4 linked regions of the Arabidopsis thaliana genome follow. The protein of the gene in region 2 binds, or shares a complex with, the protein of the main gene of each other region. Each region holds a gene or a part of one and is shown on either strand. Other genes may lie near its edges. The genes, in order: ARPC3, arpc2b, CRK and AT5G65274.

Evidence for each region.
Region 1: arpc2b (region 2) and ARPC3 share a complex: the UniProt entries of both Arabidopsis thaliana proteins name them as parts of the arp2/3 complex.
Region 3: arpc2b (region 2) and CRK share a complex: the UniProt entries of both Arabidopsis thaliana proteins name them as parts of the arp2/3 complex.
Region 4: arpc2b (region 2) and AT5G65274 share a complex: the UniProt entries of both Arabidopsis thaliana proteins name them as parts of the arp2/3 complex.

The regions. Positions count from the first base shown.
Region 1 is NC_003070.9:22,263,542-22,268,439, forward strand, and holds ARPC3 (actin-related protein C3), read right to left. Parts: upstream 2,536-4,898; 5' UTR 2,291-2,535; intron 2,221-2,290; exon of another isoform or gene 2,208-2,220; 5' UTR 2,142-2,207; coding exon 2,139-2,141; intron 1,942-2,138; coding exon 1,833-1,941; intron 1,758-1,832; coding exon 1,488-1,757; coding exon of another isoform or gene 1,456-1,487; intron 1,399-1,455; coding exon 1,256-1,398; 3' UTR 1,238-1,255; intron 1,116-1,237; 3' UTR 844-1,115; downstream 1-843. Other genes in the region: AT1G60420 (DC1 domain-containing protein), read left to right, coding at 31-702; PANK1 (pantothenate kinase 1), read right to left, coding at 3,112-3,337, 3,443-3,555, 3,651-3,782, 3,879-3,972, 4,047-4,141, 4,231-4,350, 4,776-4,892. UniProt on the Arabidopsis thaliana protein: Functions as a component of the Arp2/3 complex which is involved in regulation of actin polymerization and together with an activating nucleation-promoting factor (NPF) mediates the formation of branched actin networks.
Region 2 is NC_003071.7:14,146,536-14,152,611, reverse strand, and holds arpc2b (actin-related protein C2B), read left to right. Parts: upstream 1-2,709; 5' UTR 2,710-2,842; coding exon 2,843-2,901; intron 2,902-3,126; coding exon 3,127-3,193; intron 3,194-3,291; coding exon 3,292-3,499; intron 3,500-3,580; coding exon 3,581-3,750; intron 3,751-3,880; coding exon 3,881-3,958; intron 3,959-4,083; coding exon 4,084-4,216; intron 4,217-4,311; coding exon 4,312-4,403; intron 4,404-4,490; coding exon 4,491-4,547; coding exon of another isoform or gene 4,548-4,607; exon of another isoform or gene 4,608-4,648; coding exon 4,649-4,691; coding exon of another isoform or gene 4,692-4,717; exon of another isoform or gene 4,718-4,790; coding exon 4,791-5,008; 3' UTR 5,009-5,230; downstream 5,231-6,076. Other genes in the region: AT2G33390 (uncharacterized protein), read right to left, coding at 660-898. UniProt on the Arabidopsis thaliana protein: Functions as actin-binding component of the Arp2/3 complex which is involved in regulation of actin polymerization and together with an activating nucleation-promoting factor (NPF) mediates the formation of branched actin networks.
Region 3 is NC_003075.7:733,089-737,983, reverse strand, and holds CRK (ARP2/3 complex 16 kDa subunit (p16-Arc)), read right to left. Parts: upstream 2,332-4,895; 5' UTR 2,209-2,331; coding exon 2,120-2,208; intron 2,038-2,119; coding exon 1,965-2,037; intron 1,895-1,964; coding exon 1,794-1,894; intron 1,670-1,793; coding exon 1,534-1,669; 3' UTR 1,019-1,533; downstream 1-1,018. Other genes in the region: AT4G01703 (uncharacterized protein), read left to right, coding at 3,619-3,732; AT4G01700 (Chitinase family protein), read left to right, coding at 4,497-4,895. UniProt on the Arabidopsis thaliana protein: Functions as a component of the Arp2/3 complex which is involved in regulation of actin polymerization and together with an activating nucleation-promoting factor (NPF) mediates the formation of branched actin networks.
Region 4 is NC_003076.8:26,082,895-26,087,058, reverse strand, and holds AT5G65274 (ARP2/3 complex 16 kDa subunit (p16-Arc)), read right to left. Parts: upstream 1,760-4,164; coding exon 1,662-1,759; intron 1,584-1,661; coding exon 1,511-1,583; intron 1,467-1,510; exon of another isoform or gene 1,421-1,466; coding exon 1,320-1,420; exon of another isoform or gene 1,235-1,319; coding exon 1,099-1,234; downstream 1-1,098. Other genes in the region: GCL1 (GCR2-like 1), read left to right, coding at 39-265, 348-930; RABA4a (RAB GTPase homolog A4A), read right to left, coding at 2,509-2,956, 3,390-3,622; AT5G65260 (RNA-binding (RRM/RBD/RNP motifs) family protein), read left to right, coding at 4,075-4,164. UniProt on the Arabidopsis thaliana protein: Functions as a component of the Arp2/3 complex which is involved in regulation of actin polymerization and together with an activating nucleation-promoting factor (NPF) mediates the formation of branched actin networks.

The sequences.
Region 1 (4,898 bases), on a different chromosome or scaffold from region 2:
AACCTGTAAAAATTTGGCTTTCTTTGTTAGGTGCTTGTTTCGGATCTGGTGGGGAAGACTATTCTTATGTACTTCTCAGCTCACTGGTGTCCTCCTTGTCGCGCTTTTACACCAAAGCTTGTTGAAGTATACAAGCAGATAAAGGAGCGGAATGAAGCGTTTGAATTGATCTTCATCTCCAGTGACCGTGACCAGGAATCATTCGATGAGTACTATTCGCAAATGCCGTGGCTGGCTCTTCCATTTGGTGATCCTAGGAAAGCATCCTTGGCAAAAACCTTTAAGGTTGGTGGGATCCCAATGCTAGCAGCTCTGGGACCAACTGGGCAAACCGTAACAAAAGAAGCAAGGGACCTTGTCGTAGCCCATGGAGCCGATGCTTACCCTTTTACTGAGGAACGTTTGAAGGAGATTGAAGCTAAGTACGATGAGATAGCAAAAGATTGGCCTAAGAAGGTGAAACATGTTCTCCATGAAGAACATGAGCTAGAACTAACTCGTGTTCAGGTTTACACATGCGATAAGTGTGAGGAAGAAGGGACAATATGGTCTTACCATTGCGACGAATGCGACTTTGATCTTCACGCCAAGTGTGCTTTAAACGAGGACACAAAAGAAAACGGCGATGAGGCTGTGAAAGTTGGTGGCGACGAGTCCAAAGATGGTTGGGTTTGTGAAGGAAACGTATGCACCAAGGCCTGATAGGTAGCTTCAGGCACAGTTATGTCACTATGTGTATGCAAAGCTATTTCCTTTCTTTGTATAATTGCTAAGAGTGAGAATGTGTGGTTACAATCTGATATCTGATTAAGACCTTGGAGATAAACTCTGTTAATCTAAAGTAATAATAAAAGAATCTTCTTATTTAACTTTGATCTTGTATCAACAAATTTTATATTCCAACAGGAGTTGTATGAAACAATACATTGGCACACTCTATGTATATATCAAGAGATACAGAGAGAGAGCATTCTGCTCTCAGATGAAATTTTCGTCTTCCTGGTTCCAGTGGCTAACACCTATGCAGAGGAAGCTAAAGGTGGCGATTCTCATGATCTCCAGTGGCTTTGGATTCCCTCATTCGTAATGGGCAGCAAGCAAGGAAGAATAACCAGCTGCTAAATTATGAAAAAATCAGATCAAAAGAAAAACATTTTAAGCTTGAAATGTAGAACTGTTTGAGATGGATCTAAGATCACGTGGGATTTTGGATCCAGTAAACTAAAGTGATACTTACCAGTGATTCTCTGTTTTATCATAGGACGACCACGTTCATGAATTTCCTCTTGGCGAATGCAAGCCACCATTTATTTGGTGTCCCGTTGGCTCTATATGCTACACTCAGTAACCTCCCACTTGTCTCCTCTCGAACCTGCTTAAGATAGTTCCTGAAAAGCTCTGACATTTGAAGCCAAACAGAACACAAGGCTAAGGACCAAGTAACTGAAAGAAAAATCAATAAGAGTTGTTTAGACATGTATATATACCTGCTTCGTCCTGGGACTGCGGAAGCGAAAAGAGACCTGGGAAAGGAAAGCCAGTTTCTCCAGGAACAGGAATATCTTCTAAACCCAAGTTGATAATCGCTTTAGTTCCAACAGCCAATGTTCTACAGCCTTCAAGCCTCTTTAACGCCACATTTATATAAAACGTCAAGTAAATAAGGAGCTTATCAGCAGGACTTTTGATATCAAAGTTTGTGAAGAAGACATTAGCACGAAAGAAGGTGATTGCCTCGTCTACTATATCAGTTTTATCTGCATATAAAACCAACAATTTACAAAAGCTTTCGATCGCACAATTGAAAAAAATCACATGTTTTGATTAATTACCTTGTTCTGAAACAGGTGCAGGACCTTTTATATGACTCTTGAGAGGAAGCAATGGACAACCACATGCCTTTGTTACTCCTTCTTCATCCACAAAACTCGAGTGATAAACCTGATCAGAGCATTTAATCACAAGGATTAAGGAAACAAAATGAGCATCGCAGAGTTAAATACTCCATGGAACCAAATCAAAGTGAAACAAGCTCAATAAATAAAAAAAATCTCATCGAAGATCTAATCTAATTTCATTAGTTACAAAATGAAATGCGATTAATGCTAATTGAAAGATAAGAAAATGGTGATCCGTACCATTTTGTGCCGAATTTGAACAATGAAGCGATATCAGGAAGGAGAAGAATCGAATCGAAGGTAGATCTGCTGCAATTAAGATCTTGGATATATAAGAATCAGAATTTAGGTGAACGATTGATTCTATAGATGAAGAAAGAAAAAGTTTTTACCTAAACGAGATCAGATCAATTTCAACTTCTTTAGCGTCTACGAAAGAGGAAAGACTGCGTAAAGTTCACACGGTGAAGAATCCTTCGTGATGTTGCGGCGGTCGGAGATTGTCTTATTGGGAAGCTTAATCGCCGGCTGAAGAAGAAATTGAAATGGAAAATCGACGAAGTAGGAAAAAGGAATGAAGAACAGAAGAAGAAGAAGACAGAGAGGTATGGATGACACGTGTAAGACTCCATGAATGTGGTACATTGCTTCGTACCGGGAGTAACCAATGTTAAATCCGGCTTAGCTTTGATTTTTGAGTTTCTCGGTTTTTTTATTTGAAATTTGGTTTCTTATCGACCACTGGAATTAGGTACATCAAAAACCAAATAATGATGTGGTTCATTCTTCGGTTCAGTTTCGGGTTACATCAAAGTGGTTTGACCGGATTAAACATTGATCTTCAATCAACAACAACAACAAAATGTCCATATAAGTGTCAAGTTTCTGTTATTTCTGCTGAATGGATAAAAACTTGTTACATAAGCAATATACAAAACTTAGTAAACAAAGGCTAAACAGAAATGCACAAATACTTGCAATGCACCGGACTAAACCGAGATTTAAAGAAGCTCTAGTGAGATTTAATAAGTGTGTTTGATTCTTTGTGTGATATATAGTACAAGTTACATTGGTCATACATGAATATTAATACGTGAATCATCTTACATAAATGTGTCTAACATTCAACAAACTAGTAATGAGCAGCTCTTGACTCAAACAGTTGATTAAACATATTTCTACACTGAATTGATAATAATACAACTGGTGATAACTAAACTAAATTGATGCTACATTCTATGGTCTCGCTTTCGTTTAAATTTGAAGTTACTGGGATGTGCCGAAAGTTATGACCTGAACAGTTGAGAATTGCTCTTTGCACAGTGTGATGATGCGGTTTTAAATCGTTATGGCTCTGGTCATTGTAGCTCGTGAAAGCGCCTAATGCTCCAAGAAACCCTTCATGTCGTAAAAACATTGCCTTTGCCTCACCTCTCGACCTGAAATGAGAAGGAAAAATGAGAAAGTTCGATAAAGATTTTGTGGACATACATGAGTTTAAGATATGGAGGGATTTGATTAAGTAGTTTCGGTTTTGGATTTACCAAAAGTGAACAGCAACGGAGATTGTGTCCATGGTGTACTCAAGCCCACGGATGAAAAATCCACCAAAGAAAATACGCTTAAGACCGAATCTGAGAGCATTCAAATAAGCAATCTGGAGGGAGAGTAGAAAACGTTACAATTCGATCAGAATATCATCAGCTTCAAATTATGTTTTAAAATGGCATTAAAATGTTCAGAGGAACTGACCTGACCGATGTTATTTGATATCATTCTTAGAAGGGACCTTGCCACATCTTCTGGCTGGTAATCTTCAAGTTCTTTACCATCAGAAATCGCTTTCCCAAAGCTGGAAGCGATAGCTGTTGAGGAGAGACCAATCTATCAAAAAAGAATGAACAAAAGGTTATATTAACATATGAATCTAATCTAAAAGTCTTCAGACATGTTTAAGCAAAACCAGGATCAATCAATTACCTTTGAATAATCTGTTCCACCGTAGATATCCCCCACAAGCATGTCAATTACTCTGTTATTTCCATGGTGGCTTAACTCTAGCAGCTCATCAAAACTGAAATTAAGAAATATTAGTTGTTACTCAGGCAAGGAGGAAACTTACATTAATAGACTTAACTAAGAAGTCACCTCTTGCATTTTGTTAAAAGCTTCCCAAGACCTAAAAATGTGCCTCCGCCAAGGCTTGTTCCACTTATCCTCTCATATTTTCCATCTCCATCGACCTATATAAGAACGAGTTTGAGTAAGCAACATCGCTGGTGTAGTAGCAAACAAAAACAGAGAGATCAGAGAAACCAAAACCAGAATGAACCTTGATCATGCTAACGCCAGAACCGATGTTGACTAGTAGATATGGATACAAATCATTATGGTCGATCTCGACAAACTTCTTTTGGCCATCTAAGTAGGTAAAAGCTTCCCTTGGGACAGTCTGCAATCATGCAATAATCTATTGTTAATTTAAAATGGCAGAAATAAGAAGTTTATCAAAAACTATTCTGCCACAGATGCTTTTAATGCAATGAAGAAACTATCGGTTAAAAAACCTCAGGGAGCACAGCTCATTTAATCAAAATTGCAAATGATCACCATCTTCAAATTTATAATGTCCTAAATGTTAATGTAGCTATATTTTCAGTCTTATAGACGTTAGTCTGCAACAACACTCAGGCCAAGATCACTATCAGGGAAACATAATACAACTTCACTCATAAAGAATTAGCAAAAAGTGTTGACAAAGATGAGTGATAGCAACGTGTAGCCTAGACTATTCAGAGTACATATATATCCTCATGTGGGTTATGTTTGAGGAAAAATGAATAGAAGATGATGATAGGATAGAAAAAAAAATCAAACCTTTAGTAGAAAATTAACACCACCAACAAGAGAACACATCTCATCTTCCTTATCGAAAAGAATACCAAGTTTCTCCTTAAAGAGATCAGCAAACTTAAATGCCCCACCACCTGTGGCCTTTGG
Region 2 (6,076 bases):
ATATAGTTGTTTTCAATTGCCAAGGGGAAAAACAACAATGTAAAAGAGTAAGTTCTTAAACAGAAGATAACTACTCTATTGGACCTTCAACTACCAATATGGATGTAAACGACAAGCTTTTCCAATGGGTTTAGTTAGTGTTTCTAGACATAGTAAGTAGATTATCTTCAAGGTTCTTTACTAAATTCAGATTCCACAACCCCAAATTGAAGTGAGAAACAGGACTACAGGTTTGTTTCGTCTATCAGTTAGTACACTAAACTGCTGCCAGATAGGAGCACAAACGCTATAAGAAATTTATCAGCTACATTACACAGGGAAGCCAAATTGTTTCTCATAGGCTCATCAACAAAAATATTGGAAATAGTCAAATCAATACTAATCTAAGGTTTACAATATGGCTAGAGCAACTATAAGAATTTCTCTATGGAAACCATTCTTAAACAAAAAGACCACCAGTCAAAGATCAAGAAGACCACTCCAAAAGCACGGAAATAGCCAAAACAAAACTAACCTAAGGTTTCCGATACGAATCCCGCATTTGCAAATCATTAACATTTAAGTAAGAGCTAGACCAAATAAAAGAGAAGAGAATCACGATACAGCGAAAAACTTGAAATAATACTCTACAGAGATAGTGTTGTTAAGGATGATATTACCTTGGTTCATAAACTAAAACCTCAGCAAGATTGTCTCCTTTAATGTCATTCCACTGCACAGTCCTCTTAATCTTGTCAGTGCTTCTAGACATGCCTCCTTTCCTTGGAGGCAATAAACATTGTGACTCACTTTCTTCTTCCTCAAAGATTTGATCTTCAATTTCACTGCTATTTAAACTAACTATAGCCTTATTCTCACATCCATTAGCTTCTTTACCCTCTCCACGACCCGTATCCATAGCAAATCTTCAATCTATGGAAACTAAACCCCAAGCTTAAACAATCTGGAGAAGATAGAGATATCACTCGTGTTCCCTAATTCATGTCAAATACCAAATACCACCTGATCATTCATAAACCCTAAGCTCCCTAACCATTAACCTCAATTTCGCTTCAGTATTCAGGGGTTTGAATTTGATCCTGATACAAAACAAAAGATAAATATGAATCTAACAAACCCTAATCACAAAATCTGAAAATTTGTGAATTCTAATATATCAAAGTCAACGCTTGGATCATGAATCAAGATCAGGATACGAAATCAGAAAACTGGAAATGAGAAAAAGCATTACTTACGTAGTAAAATGGCTGCGTTTTCTCTCGATTAGACGAACGAAAAAATCTCAAATTTTCTCGAGGAAAAAAATCAAAACTTTGACAACGATTAACACAAACAACAAACACCCATATCGAATTTCAACAATAATCGAATCCAACAATCCAGGGAAACCTCGAATTTCCCAAAATTTTGTTCTGATCCGATAACGAGAAAAAAAGAAAAGGGAAAGTGAAGGATTGAAATCTGAGAGACGCGTTTCTCTCAGCTGAGTTCTGATTGGGTGTCGAGAAAGTGTGCGAAAAGAAAATTCGTTAAATAAGGAATTAACGGCTAAGATCAAACTTGAGATATTTTTGTAGATGAGATTAAAACTTGTTTTGGCACACGGTAGGTAATCTCGTTATGAGATTATACTTCGGCCGTTGACTAATCATTTTTAATTAGCAAACTTGCAACTTTTTAATTACTTGTTTTTTTGGTTAAACAACAATATTTTAATTAAACAACTTGTTGAGCTTTTATGTGTTCTATAATTTAATAAGCTTTGAATTTTTCATGTTGACAAATTCAATATAGACTTCTAGATTTATAATTGATAATAAATTAAATTGATAGAGGTCTAGTTATCTTAGCATATGTATAGTTTTATGTGACTAAGATTACTTTTATAGTTTTAAATTATATAACAAATCAGGGTATTTTACAAGTTGTATTATCAAAATGAATCTATATAAATAAAACATGAATTTATATATTGATGGTCATCATAACAAAGACACATTTTGCTAAAAGATTTTATTTTCCTGTTTCATAAAAAAATAATATTAATAAATAAGTTATAAATTCATGTCAGATAATATGGTTTTACAATGACCATTCTTTTACCCTAAGTAAACCTCACGTCCACACTGAATAGAAAGAAGAATTGTGACTTAGTATGTGGGGTAAACTAATAACTATATGTTGGTGAAGTCAATAATAGCTTGCGATTTGTGTGAAACCGACGCTTAATGTTCATTGGATTAGCTTGGATTACATTCCAAGTATTGCTTTTTTAATGATAAGATTAATGTCCACATAATGACAATAGAAAAACAATCATTTATGTTTCTAACAGTAGAATTTTGCCTTTGAGGTTGAATAAAGATCAGGGAAAAAATATATGAAAATCTCATTTTCCATGGTTTCGATATTTTAGATGTAATCTAAGTTTTTGGAAAAAACACATTCTACCTCTGTCAAATTCCTTCTGTGTCATCACGGGACCGTGCGAATCGGCGTCCATCGGATCCCACAGCTTTAGTCCGAAGGCTGAGAAAGCATTAAAACTCTTTATCAACGGGCCTATGTTTATATTCGGCTCACAGGTACATCCACATGTTACGTTTCAGTGGCAGATACAATAGCTAAAATGTTTTCTTAGAAAGAAAGATAAAAAAATGATTGCAAATTTAAACTGACATTTTACTCAACATCCAACAATTCACCAATGCACGAAAGAAAAAGCGCACTTATTAGGCTCTCACACAGATATATGTGCAATGCACACATAAAAAGTTATAGATTGATGACATTGTAAATTATAATTATTGTACCCTCAAGTTTCTTCCGAGGTGTTTCAAGAATGGCATATCTCGAAAGAGCCTCTCCAACGTTGAAAGAAACACTCCTCAAGATATACCGGTAAGCCACACTCTCTCTTTTATTCTCTGGTCCAATTTCATTCCCGGTTTAGCTACCTCCGTACCTAACAATATTTTCCGGCTTAACTTCAATCAAGATTATTTGAAATGATTTTGTTAGTATGGTTAGTAAACATTAATTTCCAACTAAAAATCAATTGGCAATAAGTTCATATCCAATGCCAATGTGAGACATTATAACATAAGGTTATTGAATCCATGGCAGTGCTGAAAAACCTATTGAGGTCGATCAACATTTCCATGAGTTTGGTTCGATTGAATACCATATCAAGGTATATTTTTGGGGCTTCCTTTTTTTAATAATAATCTTCTTTCTTATTCGATTATATGTGCTCTTACAAAATGAAATATATATGATTTGGACATGCAGTACTCGGTTTCGGATCCAAATATTGTGCATGTATCGACGTCGACGTTGCTTGAGACACAAGGAGCAGTGACATTGAAGGAGATTTCAAGTTACACTTATGAGGTGATTAAGAATATTGGAGTTGGTGTGATTGACATCGTTGATCCACCAAGATTAGGGTTTCAATTGACCCTTGGCCTAAACCTTGATAATATACCACGTGGCAAAGGTAAGCTTCAATATTGAAATGTACTTTTTCCCGCTACTTAGTTATTATAAGTTTTTTTCATATTTACTCATTCAAATGCAGAAGCGATTAAAATCATTACAAGGATTTCTGAACTACAAGCGATAATATTAAGTAGCCAACTAAAAGAGATGCTGAGAAGTTTAAATTTTCAAGATGATTCACGATCGATCAACAACATGCCCATCAGGATTGTTTATCACCCAAGTGAACCTTTCTACGTCTTTAAACAGGTTTATTTTACCGCGTTTTATTCGTTTATCTGAGTTACATCCAACTAAATATAATAATGGATAGAGACCAACGTCTAAAATTTATCGAATAACTATAACTATAAGAATAAGTCTTTGAATGTTTTTTCAGCCGGAAAAAATCACGGCCGTGTTTCCGATGAATTTTAAAGACAATTCGGATGTGGTCATCGCCACGTCATTCTTCCAGGTACAACTAAAATGCATACAATCAATGGGTGGGACTAGAGTTTTGCATTGAGACGTCACTAAGGTTTCCTTTGTCAAATTTTATCTTTTTATGTTAAAAACAAATTGGACAATACATATAAAAAGGAACTAGTTGAAGTGGGAAGCCAAAAGGATATGGGAAAAGCCCCACAATGTAGTTGGTCGCCAATTCCTCCTCTCCAACTTAGAGGAGAACCGGTTCAAGACTTGACCACCAATTCTGGTTTTGTATCATTTGGTACGTTTTGTGTCATTTTATCTGTTTATAAAACTTAATCCAACATCTTTAATTAGTATTCTTAAATGTCAAAGTTCAAACAATTCTCATTGCAGATATTACTTCACGGCACATTGAAGGAAAGAGACTGGACAAAACGGTTTGGAACTTGCTAAATTTCTACGCATGCGCTAAGTACCATATTAAGGTACATTAGTTCTAGTTTTTCAAATAAAATATAATAGATTTTGTGTTCTTGTAATTGAAAATTTTCAACCTCGTATTGTTTAAATAGTGCTCGAGAGGGTACATACAGAGACGGATGAGAAAAAGAATGGAAACTTTAGTTAAGGTATTTTTATCATATATTACGTACACACACGAATCTACAACAATAGTTGACATTTCATAAACAAAATAACGTATGTTTGTAAATTTACATTATATACGTAGCTGCTAAATAACACAAGCCTAGAAGAAGAAGCTGCTCAAAATGGTATCCTTTTTTTTTGTTACCTTTAACCTTACTTAGGTTTGTATATATAAAAAAGTTATATTATCATTTTTTCTTTTCCATTCTCTAATTTCTATATAGAAAACGGAAGATGCAAATACGTAAAGGAGTTTGTGAAGGTACCAAAAGGTAAATTGATGATGAAACAAAGATGCAAGGAGATGACAAGGAGAGTGAAGATAAGCAAGTTCCGGATCAAAATCAACGGTTGTGCTCGGTTTCGATTCAATCAGCGGTGGATATCTCTCCCCAAATTCTCTTCGAAACCATCAGATAAATCATACACAAAATTGGACTAAGTAATCACTTAACTTGGAAAGTCTCAAGAAAGAGGCTCGGTGTTGTTGTTTTTTTTCTTTGTCAACATGCTTTAAAATTGAATTCGGGGAGCAATATTATACGTTAATGAATATCTTGACAACAAAAAAAAACGTTATCAGATAAACTTATGGATATAATTTGGTAAACCAAAAATAAACCTAATCAAAAGTTGGCATTGAATGCAGCATGTTACGTAAGAGCTTTGTACAAGTACCATTCACTCTTTTTACTTTTCAATGTATACAATCATCATGTGATAAAAAAAAAAATGTAACCAATCAACACACTGAGATACGGCCAAAAAATGGTAATACATAAATGTTTGTAGGTTTTGTAATTTAAATACTTTAGTTAAGTTATGATTTTATTATTTTTGCTTATCACTTATACGAAATCATCAATCTATTGGTATCTCTTAATCCCGCTTTTTAATTTCCACCGCACACGCAAATCAGCAAATGGTTCCAGCCACGTGCATGTGACCACATATTGTGGTCACAGTACTCGTCCTTTTTTTTTCTTTTGTAATCAATAAATTTCAATCCTAAAACTTCACACATTGAGCACGTCGGCAACGTTAGCTCCTAAATCATAACGAGCAAAAAAGTTCAAATTAGGGTATATGATCAATTGATCATCACTACATGTCTACATAATTAATATGTATTCAACCGGTCGGTTTGTTGATACTCATAGTTAAGTATATATGTGCTAATTAGAATTAGGATGAATCAGTTCTTGCAAACAACTACGGTTTCATATAATATGGGAGTGTTATGTACAAAATGAAAGAGGATGGATCATTCTGAGATGTTATGGGCTCCCAGTCAATCATGTTTTGCTCGCATATGCTATCTTTTGAGTCTCTTCCTAAACTCATAGAATAAGCACGTTGGTTTTTTCCACCGTCCTCCTCGTGAACAAAAGTACAATTACATTTTAGCAAATTGAAAATAACCACGTGGATGGACCATATTATATGTGATCATATTGCTTGTCGTCTTCGTTTTCTTTTAAATGTTTACACCACTACTTCCTGACACGTG
Region 3 (4,895 bases), on a different chromosome or scaffold from region 2:
TGTCACTCAAAATTGCTTCCACGTAAATCTGTAAAAAAAGAAGAAGAAGGGAATTCGCTCTCCCATGCACTAATACTTGGTAAGTTATTGAATTCACATCAGACTCCATATAATCCATTTTATCTCCGAAAACATCTGAGTACATAAACAATAATTTAAACGTTTATCACAAAAACACTTATCTATTTCTTTCTAAAGACATCATTTTTTTTATTGGTAATTTTGAATTTTAGAGAAAACAATTTGTAATTAGCTGACAATTTTTTTATATTGTTATATATCTTAATATTTTTGAAATATCAAAAGAGGATCATCAGATTTATTGAAAATAGGTTTTCAAGAGTTCATCTGGAACTACCGGATGCTATAAATAATAAATAAAAATTGTTGTATTTGGAAATTTTTTCATGTGAAAGCAACTACTATTTCTGGGATTCCCTTTTGTTACTACTACTACTCAATTACTCATTTAATTTGATCAAAAAGACTGTAAAAGTAAAAACTTAATTGCTTTTGTCTTTTATAAGGAAACGTTGATCAAGCTGATGCTTTGGCAAAAGCTGCTCTTGTTTCTTCTTGTACTAACGTTGATAAAAAAAAAAAAAAAAAAAAAAAAGATCTAAACTTTTATTTAACGCTATTTGACATTTGAATTCAACCTGGTTTATTACAATCCTATAAAATTTTAAAAATCTAAAGAGTAAAATTGTTTAAATCAATGACTAACTATGTGAACATTTACTCTTGTATGACGAGTGCATTTACATTGAAAGTTTAGAAATGAATTTAGTTTCAATGGGCTGAGTTCGATATTGGGCCTTCGAGTTATGAACATTCAGTGAATCAGGAATGGTTGTATTCAACTTGTGATTTGTAATTTTTTTCTCAAATCCTTTGTTATTGAAATTGGAATTTATATAAAATCACTCAAAAGAATCTATAATCTTCTGTTATTCATTCAAGAATTTATAAAACACATCTTAAATCCACTGTTATCTAAACTCAACAAAACAATTTCATTAAAAACATTTAACATTGATTCTGGGAGACTTAGGCAAAAAAATTTAGTTGAAAATAAGCATGAAAAAATCTCACCTGTAGGTGTTATTCTGAACGATTTGATTTAAAAAAAGATTCACAGAAAATCTCTGCGACATATTCTCATTGTCCTCCTCCCCTCGTCTTCCATGAAAAAAGCTTTCGGTCTCTGTTCTTCACCGGCAAAATCGAGAATGGATTTGGTCTGTAGAAGAATGCAAATTCCACCAAATCTTCTAAAAGATTCTGGTTTCAATACACCCCCCTAAAATTACTTAATCACAACTTGGTCTTCGTATTTATGATTCAGCTGATCCGGGAATTATGTTACACATGAGCTCTAGGAATGACTTGTGTTATCATTTATCAAGCAACTGTTTGGTAATGAAAATACAAGTCTAAAACTGATAAATGTGAGACATGGTTCCTCAAGGAGAATATGCACATTGGAAACATCAAGGCATCAAGTAATAATACATAAGAGGGAATGATGGATCAAACGGTGTTGATGGTATCAGTAAGACATCGGAGAATGCAACCGAGACCAGCTCTCTCAGTGAGTTTCTCGTGAATCTTCAGGCACTGATCGCAGGTGGGTCGGTCCCCAGTAGAAAGTCCTCTGTACAAGTACCTGAGAATTTTAAGCAAAAACATTCTATCAAAGAGCACAGACAGCCTGAGGATAGAGCTTTCCAATTCATACATATTACAAAACGCATTACAGCAAAAAAAAAAAAAACCAACTTTGCACTTACTTCATGAGAATGTCGTAATATTCGACATCAAGAGCATTGAGCATTCCGTCAATATCCTTAATGGCCATTAAAGCTCTGTGCACAACTATCCAATTAGCCGACTGCAGTTGAGTTTTTTTTGGCTCAGTAAATCAAAAAAAAAAAAAAAGATGGTTTCGGAAAGAGAGAGACCTTGCAACGTTCATCGCGAGTTTTCGGAGGCGAACCTTCAAGAGCCGTTTTCAAAGCTTCTACATGTTTGTACCTGCACACATTAAAACACCGATAAGGGATTAAACCAAAAACAAAAGAAGACTTTAGGGTTTAGCTCCAAGGTCTGATATTACTGTTTGAGTAGGCTTTCAATCTTCCTCGATTTGGTTTCGATCCTCGCGATTATTGCTTCTGCGTTATCAGCTTCAACGAATTCTGCCATTCTTCGATTCGATCTTTCTCTCCGATCAGAGATTTCCCCTCTTTCCCTTCTTTAATTGAAAAAATGAGAGAGAGAGAGGAAAACAACTCAATCGCCATTTGACCATTTCAAAAGGGAACTGAGTGCCGTTTGTCTTGGCCTTAAACGGCACGTAGTCTTAAATGCTTATGCTGCCACTGAATGATGGATGATGGAAGCTTCATTTTTTTTTTCATTTTTTGTCAATAGGATTTTCATCGATAGGATTCAAGTTGAAATACAAGAGCCGGCAAGTACAAACCACTTCCGGAGACATAAGCCGATGAGTACAAGAACACTCCCGAAGCCAAATACCAAACAAGGTAAACAAAGGGAACAAAATCCAAACAAACCAATTACACTATATTCATTGAAATTTCCTCGATCAGGTTCTAGAAATCCAAAAAAGACTTACAAATCCTAAGTCATAGAAAATTAAAACAAATCTGAGACTAAAAAAGACACACAAACGGGTTACAATACAAGAATCTCCTTTTCTTTCTTGGTATAACAATTTTTTTTTTATTATAAATCTCTCTTATAAATTTTTAATAGTAATATTTGTTGGACCGAATTTTTTATATTTATACTAATGAACTTTTCTTTACGATTTTGTTACCATTTTGGTATCATTTTTACGATTTTAATTTATTAACCTCCTTAATTAAAATCGCAACCTATTCTATTTTATTAACACAGGTCAAAATATATTTTTTTCTGCGCTCGACCCTAATATGTTAACAAAATGGTTGTTTCTGCCCAAATCTCATTATATTTGTATGGATAGACGAAGAGCATTTTGATAATACTCTTTTGGAATGTTTCTTTATCATTCTAATTAGGATCCTACATCGAAAGTATACTATAAATGGAGTAAACACACTCATGACTGCTAAGTGCTAACACTAGTATATATGGAACACAACCAATCCAATCATTACCCATTGGTTTTAAATTAGAATCTGATGAAACTTAACATTAACTTTCTCTAATCATTAATGATATTGGTAGTCTTATAACAAATATATTGCCAAGATTCGGTCTAAGACCACTTGATAGAACTATGTATAAAACTTCTTTTTTTTAACTGCCAAACCTATATAAAGTGGACGTGTAAACTAAAGCATGGTGATCACTTCACATCGCACCAATGTAGTGGATCTAAACGTCTCTTTGTGTAATCACGTGGTCGAATTAATGGTCAATCATTTAGCAATTAACCAAATTTGAAATAACATCCGAAAAAAGTCGGTTTAGTGGGAGGAGAAGTGAGAATGATGTTTCATGAATGCTCGTTAGGAACTCTTCGAAAGACGATAACCTCGGATGGATGTTTATGGTGTCGGCTTCTAGTGGTTAAACATAATTAGATCGTCTACTGAAAAGTTGGAGATGTGGTTGAGAAACTCGTACCCTACATATGGTTACTCGTCTGCTGGTTTAATCGTTGGGATTGATCGTGTACTAGTCTTTCTTAAAGGCCAAGAATTTTGTCGTCGTAGTTAATATATGTTGGCGTACGTTTTACTGTTTTTCTTGAGAAATAATTGGATCTTAAGCTTATTAAAAAAGTCGTCACGACTTGGTCCAACTCGTACATATCACAAGTTGCTCGGCGCTTTTCATGTTAGTTAGCCACCGACCTCGAACTTTGAAATTTTATATTTTTTAACTTCAAAAACAATTCTTTGATAGTTTTGTTTTCATTGCTAATATTTCTCTCAATTTTTTTTTATTGTTTTTATTTTTGTATAGAATAGTATTCAAAATGAAACTATAATTCAGTATGGAACACTTTCTGTTTTATTTAATATTTACTTCATAATGAATTATGTTTCAAATTTTCAAAGAATATATTTATATTTGAATTTGGTTAGTACCTTCCAAAGAAGCTTAATTCCCCACATTAAAATTCAACTTGGTCTTCATATTAACATTATTCAATTGAATTCAGACTGAAATGGTTCACTTTATCTGGTTTGAAATATATGTCATGCATTTTCCAAATCAAGAATGAATCTTCTTGAAAGAAAAAAAATGAGAAAAAAGAAGAAGGAGAGGAATGGGTCTCCTAACAATGAAAAAGAGAATAAACCCTTAAATAATTGCAACTATATAAAATAAAAAGTATAAACTCCACTAAAAAAAGTCAAAACGTAGACCAAAACAAAAACATGTAACTAAGTCGTCCACTACTACATCTCTATGACTCTATATAACAACAAAGCCAAAACCACATCTTCTCACACAAAACACAAAAAAGAACAAATATGGAGAAACAAATCTCTCTATTGCTCTGTCTACTCCTCTTCATCTTCTCAATATCATCCTCTCTCCATGAAACCGAAGCTCGAAAACACAATAAATATAAACCCGCACCGATCATGAGCCTAGTCCCAAGAACTCTCTACGACCAAATCTTCATCCACAAGGACAACAACGCATGCCCTGCAAAAGGTTTCTACCCCTATGAAGCTTTCGTGGAGGCTACAAGATCCTTCCCGAAGTTCGGGAGCGTAGGAAACTTTTGGACAAGGCGACGCGAAGTGGCTGCGTTTTTGGCGCAGATATCTCACGAGACAACAGGTGGTTGGGCCACGGCACCAGACGGACCATATGCGTGGGGATTGTGTTTTAAAGAGGAAGTGAGTCCACAGAGTAATTATTGT
Region 4 (4,164 bases), on a different chromosome or scaffold from region 2:
AGTGACGAGCCTTTAAGATTTGTTATTCTTACAAGCAGCTTGCAGAAGAGAGAGAGTTACCAGCAGGACCAGAGGAAGGAGGATTTGGGATGTCATATGACCTTCTCTATGGAAGAGCGGGTTTCCTTTGGGCTGCTCTGTTCCTAAACCGATATCTCGGCCAAGGAACTGTTCCTGACCATCTCTTATCACCCATTGTTGCAGCCATCTTAGCCGGTGGGCGAGTTGGAGCTGCAGATCATGAAGCTTGTCCTCTGTTATACAGGTTTCACAAAATAGCTATAGTTTGTTAAAAGAGAATCCTGTTTATCTTTAGTAGGAATTGATCTTACTTTTGTGGCTTTTAGGTTTCACGGAACGCGATTTTGGGGTGCTGCGAATGGATTAGCTGGAATCTTGTATGTATTGCTGCATTTTCCACTATCGGAAGAGGATGTTAAAGATGTTCAAGGGACATTGAGGTATATGATGAGTAATAGGTTTCCGAACAGCGGAAACTACCCGTGCAGCGAAGGGAATCCGAGGGATAAGCTAGTCCAATGGGCTCATGGAGCAACCGGCATGGCCATTACTTTGGCTAAAGCATCTCAGGTGTTTCCCAAGGAAAGGGATTTCCGCGAAGCAGCCATTGAAGCAGGAGAAGTAGTGTGGAAGAGTGGCTTGGTGAAGAAGGTAGGTTTAGCTGATGGAGTTGCTGGTAATGCCTACGCTTTCTTATCCCTTTATCGCTTAACCGGAGATGTTGTATATGAAGAGAGAGCAAAAGCGTTTGCGAGTTACTTGTGCCGTGATGCGATAGAGCTCGTGAATATGACAAGCCAAGAAACAGAACATGATTATTCGCTATTCCGGGGACTAGCTGGACCAGTATGCCTCTGGTTCGATCTTGTGTCGCCGGTAGATTCTAAGTTTCCTGGTTATGAGATATAATTTAAAACCAGGTAACCGTAGGTTCTTTTATGACTATCTCTTTGTGAAAGGATCTTAGGTTCTCCGGTTTATTCCACTTTCTATAATCTATTGAAGTAACTTGAGATTTGGGAGAAACATTCATAGAAAACAAGAATAAAAGTAACATGAAAAGATCAGCTTAATGGTTTAAACGGTATTGGTAGTATCACTCAGACAACGGAGAATGCAACCGAGACCAGCTCTCTCTGTTAGTTTCTCGTGAATCATCAAACACTGTTCGCATGTGGGTTCGTCACCAGTCGAAAGACCTCTGTACAAGTACCTGATCCACACCATTTAAGCAAACAAAACACTGCTTCCACATCACGCTAATTAAAAGCTAGCAGAGCAAAAGGCAAGAGACTTACTTCATGAGAATGTCGTAATACTCGGCAGTAAGAGAATTTAACATTCCTTCGATATCCTTTATCGCCATGATAGCTCTGTGCACAACTATCCAATTAGCTGACTGCAATTTCACAGATATTTATCATAAATTACACAATCTTTTTGATCATGAACAAACTACTTATGTGCATGGTAGAGGAAACAGTAGGACCTTGCAACGTTCGTCGAGAGTTTTAGGTGGCGAACCATCAAGAGCCGTTTTAAGAGCTTCGACATGTTTGTAGCTGAATAAAACGAAGTAACAATTATAGCCTAGGTCATCTGAGAAAGTTGGAAGAAAAAAGGAACTTTAGGGTTATTACTGTTTGAGTAAGCTTTCAATCTTCTGCGATTTGGTTTCGATCCTTGCCATTATTTCCTCTGCATTATCAGCTTCAACAAATGCTGCTGCACCAGCCATTGGATCTCTCTCTTTCTCTACACTCTCCAGCAAAATTATCTAAAACCTAATCAATTAATTTCATTTCTTCATTCAAATCGACAACTTGCTGCATAAGAAACATATGATTTGAGTTTACTAACCAAAGGAGGCAATGCAAAACTTGTCATCCCCATAAAAAGCTAAAAAGAGAAGTAACAATCACGACAAAATCAATTCTAATCACGTAAAACAATCCATTGCCGATGGTACGCAGATTTCTCACATCATATCAGATCAGTAATCCTGAACTTTCTGATCAAATCATACAAGATTGAAGAATCAAGCAGGATTCGAAGATTACCTGAAATTAGAGAGAATAAAGCAATCGAGTGGTAAAACGGCCGAGTGAGAATTTATCAGAACTGTGATACCAATTATTAAAATCGGATGCTTCAGTTTTTAATTTTTACTTTTTCACATTGACGTAACAAGAGAAATAGAAAAGTTGTTATTGCTGGTATATATTTGTAATTAACAAAAATGTAACAATAATCTTACAAATGTAGAGAGAATAAAAACATGTTGATCAAATTAATATCCAATTTTTAAGATCAAATTAAGATCGGTTTGTTATACTTGGATTCAACACCCCAAAACCCCACAAAAACTGCTCATTAAGCAACAAATGAATCACACAGCTCTAGATAGGAGAAATATCCCAATCAGAGTCTTTAAAACATCTATATATTGTTGTTATCAAGTAACATTCAAGAATTGAATTGGTTTATCTAAGAGTTACAACACATGTTACTCTTGTTTGGTATCACTTGACCAGGACCTGGAACAATATCAATCTTCTTACCAGCAAGCGACCCGGGATTACCATTCTCTTGATCTTCACTCGCAGCCAGACTTTTCTTGTTCACAATGTTGAAGATCTCAGTCAAAACCGTGGAGAAAGCGCTCTCAACATTGGTTGCGTTAAATGCAGATGTCTCCAAGAAGAACAAACCTTCTTTCTCCGCAAATTCTTTCGCATCTTCTGTCGGTATAGCTCGTTGATCCACAAGATCTGACTTGTTCCCAATAAGGATTATCACAATGTTCTTATCTGCATGAGCACGTAGTTCTTCTAACCATCTTGGGATATGGTCAAAGGTTTGGCGTCTGGTTATGTCATACACCAACATCGCCCCAACCGCTCCTCGGTAATATGCACTTGTTACTGCTCTGTATCTGTTTCAACCAATACCACACATATAGAAAGATATACAATGTAAGCATATGATAAGCATGAAATGTGGTGGTTAGCTTACTCATTAAAGATCAGTGAATGTATAAAGTTGATGAAGCATCACTGGGAAATGTATAACAAAAGTGTCCAAATTTGTACCAATCATAAAATTATAGAAGCTTAATAACATTGGAATAGTAATATACATAATTCTAGTCTATACATAATTTTGAAATCCCAATCCCAAATTCTCAATGATTCTACCATTTTACTTCAGATCCTCCCAATTTCGTATACAGATCAGTAAGCTTTACTAGAATTCGAAATCCTAAGCAGACCTATCATCTTCCAGATCTAGAGAAACAGTAAAATCTTACGAGATCTAAGTTCAAGCAATTGAAGTAGCTAAAAGTTCCGGGAGAGGTCGGAGATTACCGTTCTTGGCCGGCGGTATCCCAGATCTGAGCCTTAACACTCTTGTGATCGATAACAAGCGTCCGAGTCTGAAACTCAACGCCGATGGTGGCCTTAGAATCCAAACTGAATTCGTCTCTAGCATAACGAGCCAGTATCTGTGATTTCCCAACCGCGGAATCGCCGATCAACACCACTTTGAACACATAATCAATCTTCTGCGACGGATCTCCGTATCCTCCTCCACTAGTCATCTTCTTCAACGTCTCTCTCTCGCTAAATCCTCTCTTGCTAAATCCTCTGTTTTAAGCTTTTACCGAAAAGTGAGCTTTTTTGAAGTTTTAAACGCAGAGAGAGATCTGATACGGTCGTATTGTCGTCGTTGTCAACTATTAGTCAATATTTTTAATTAATGATGACGTGTCTAAATATTAACCGTTGGATTCTGCCGGCTCGGTGAGATTTGACGGATTCGACAATTATCTTTCTGTCAGGCGCATGTTTTTGGGTGATGATGTCATCAAATAGGGTAATTTCGAATGTTAAAAAGTCTTTTAAAATTGGGCCTTATTAGGCCCATTAAGTTATAATAAAGGGCCGTTATTTGGTTGATTACGTGTCGCTATCCGAATTGACAAAAAGTGACCTAAGCGTTTTCAGAAGAAAACAAAGCAAACGTCGCGACGGAGAGAGAGCGAGAGAGACGATGGAGGAAGAGGAGCACGAGGTTTACGGTGGTGAAATTCCAGACGTCGGAGAGATGGATGGAGATATGGAGGCTCTCAACCCCGATTTG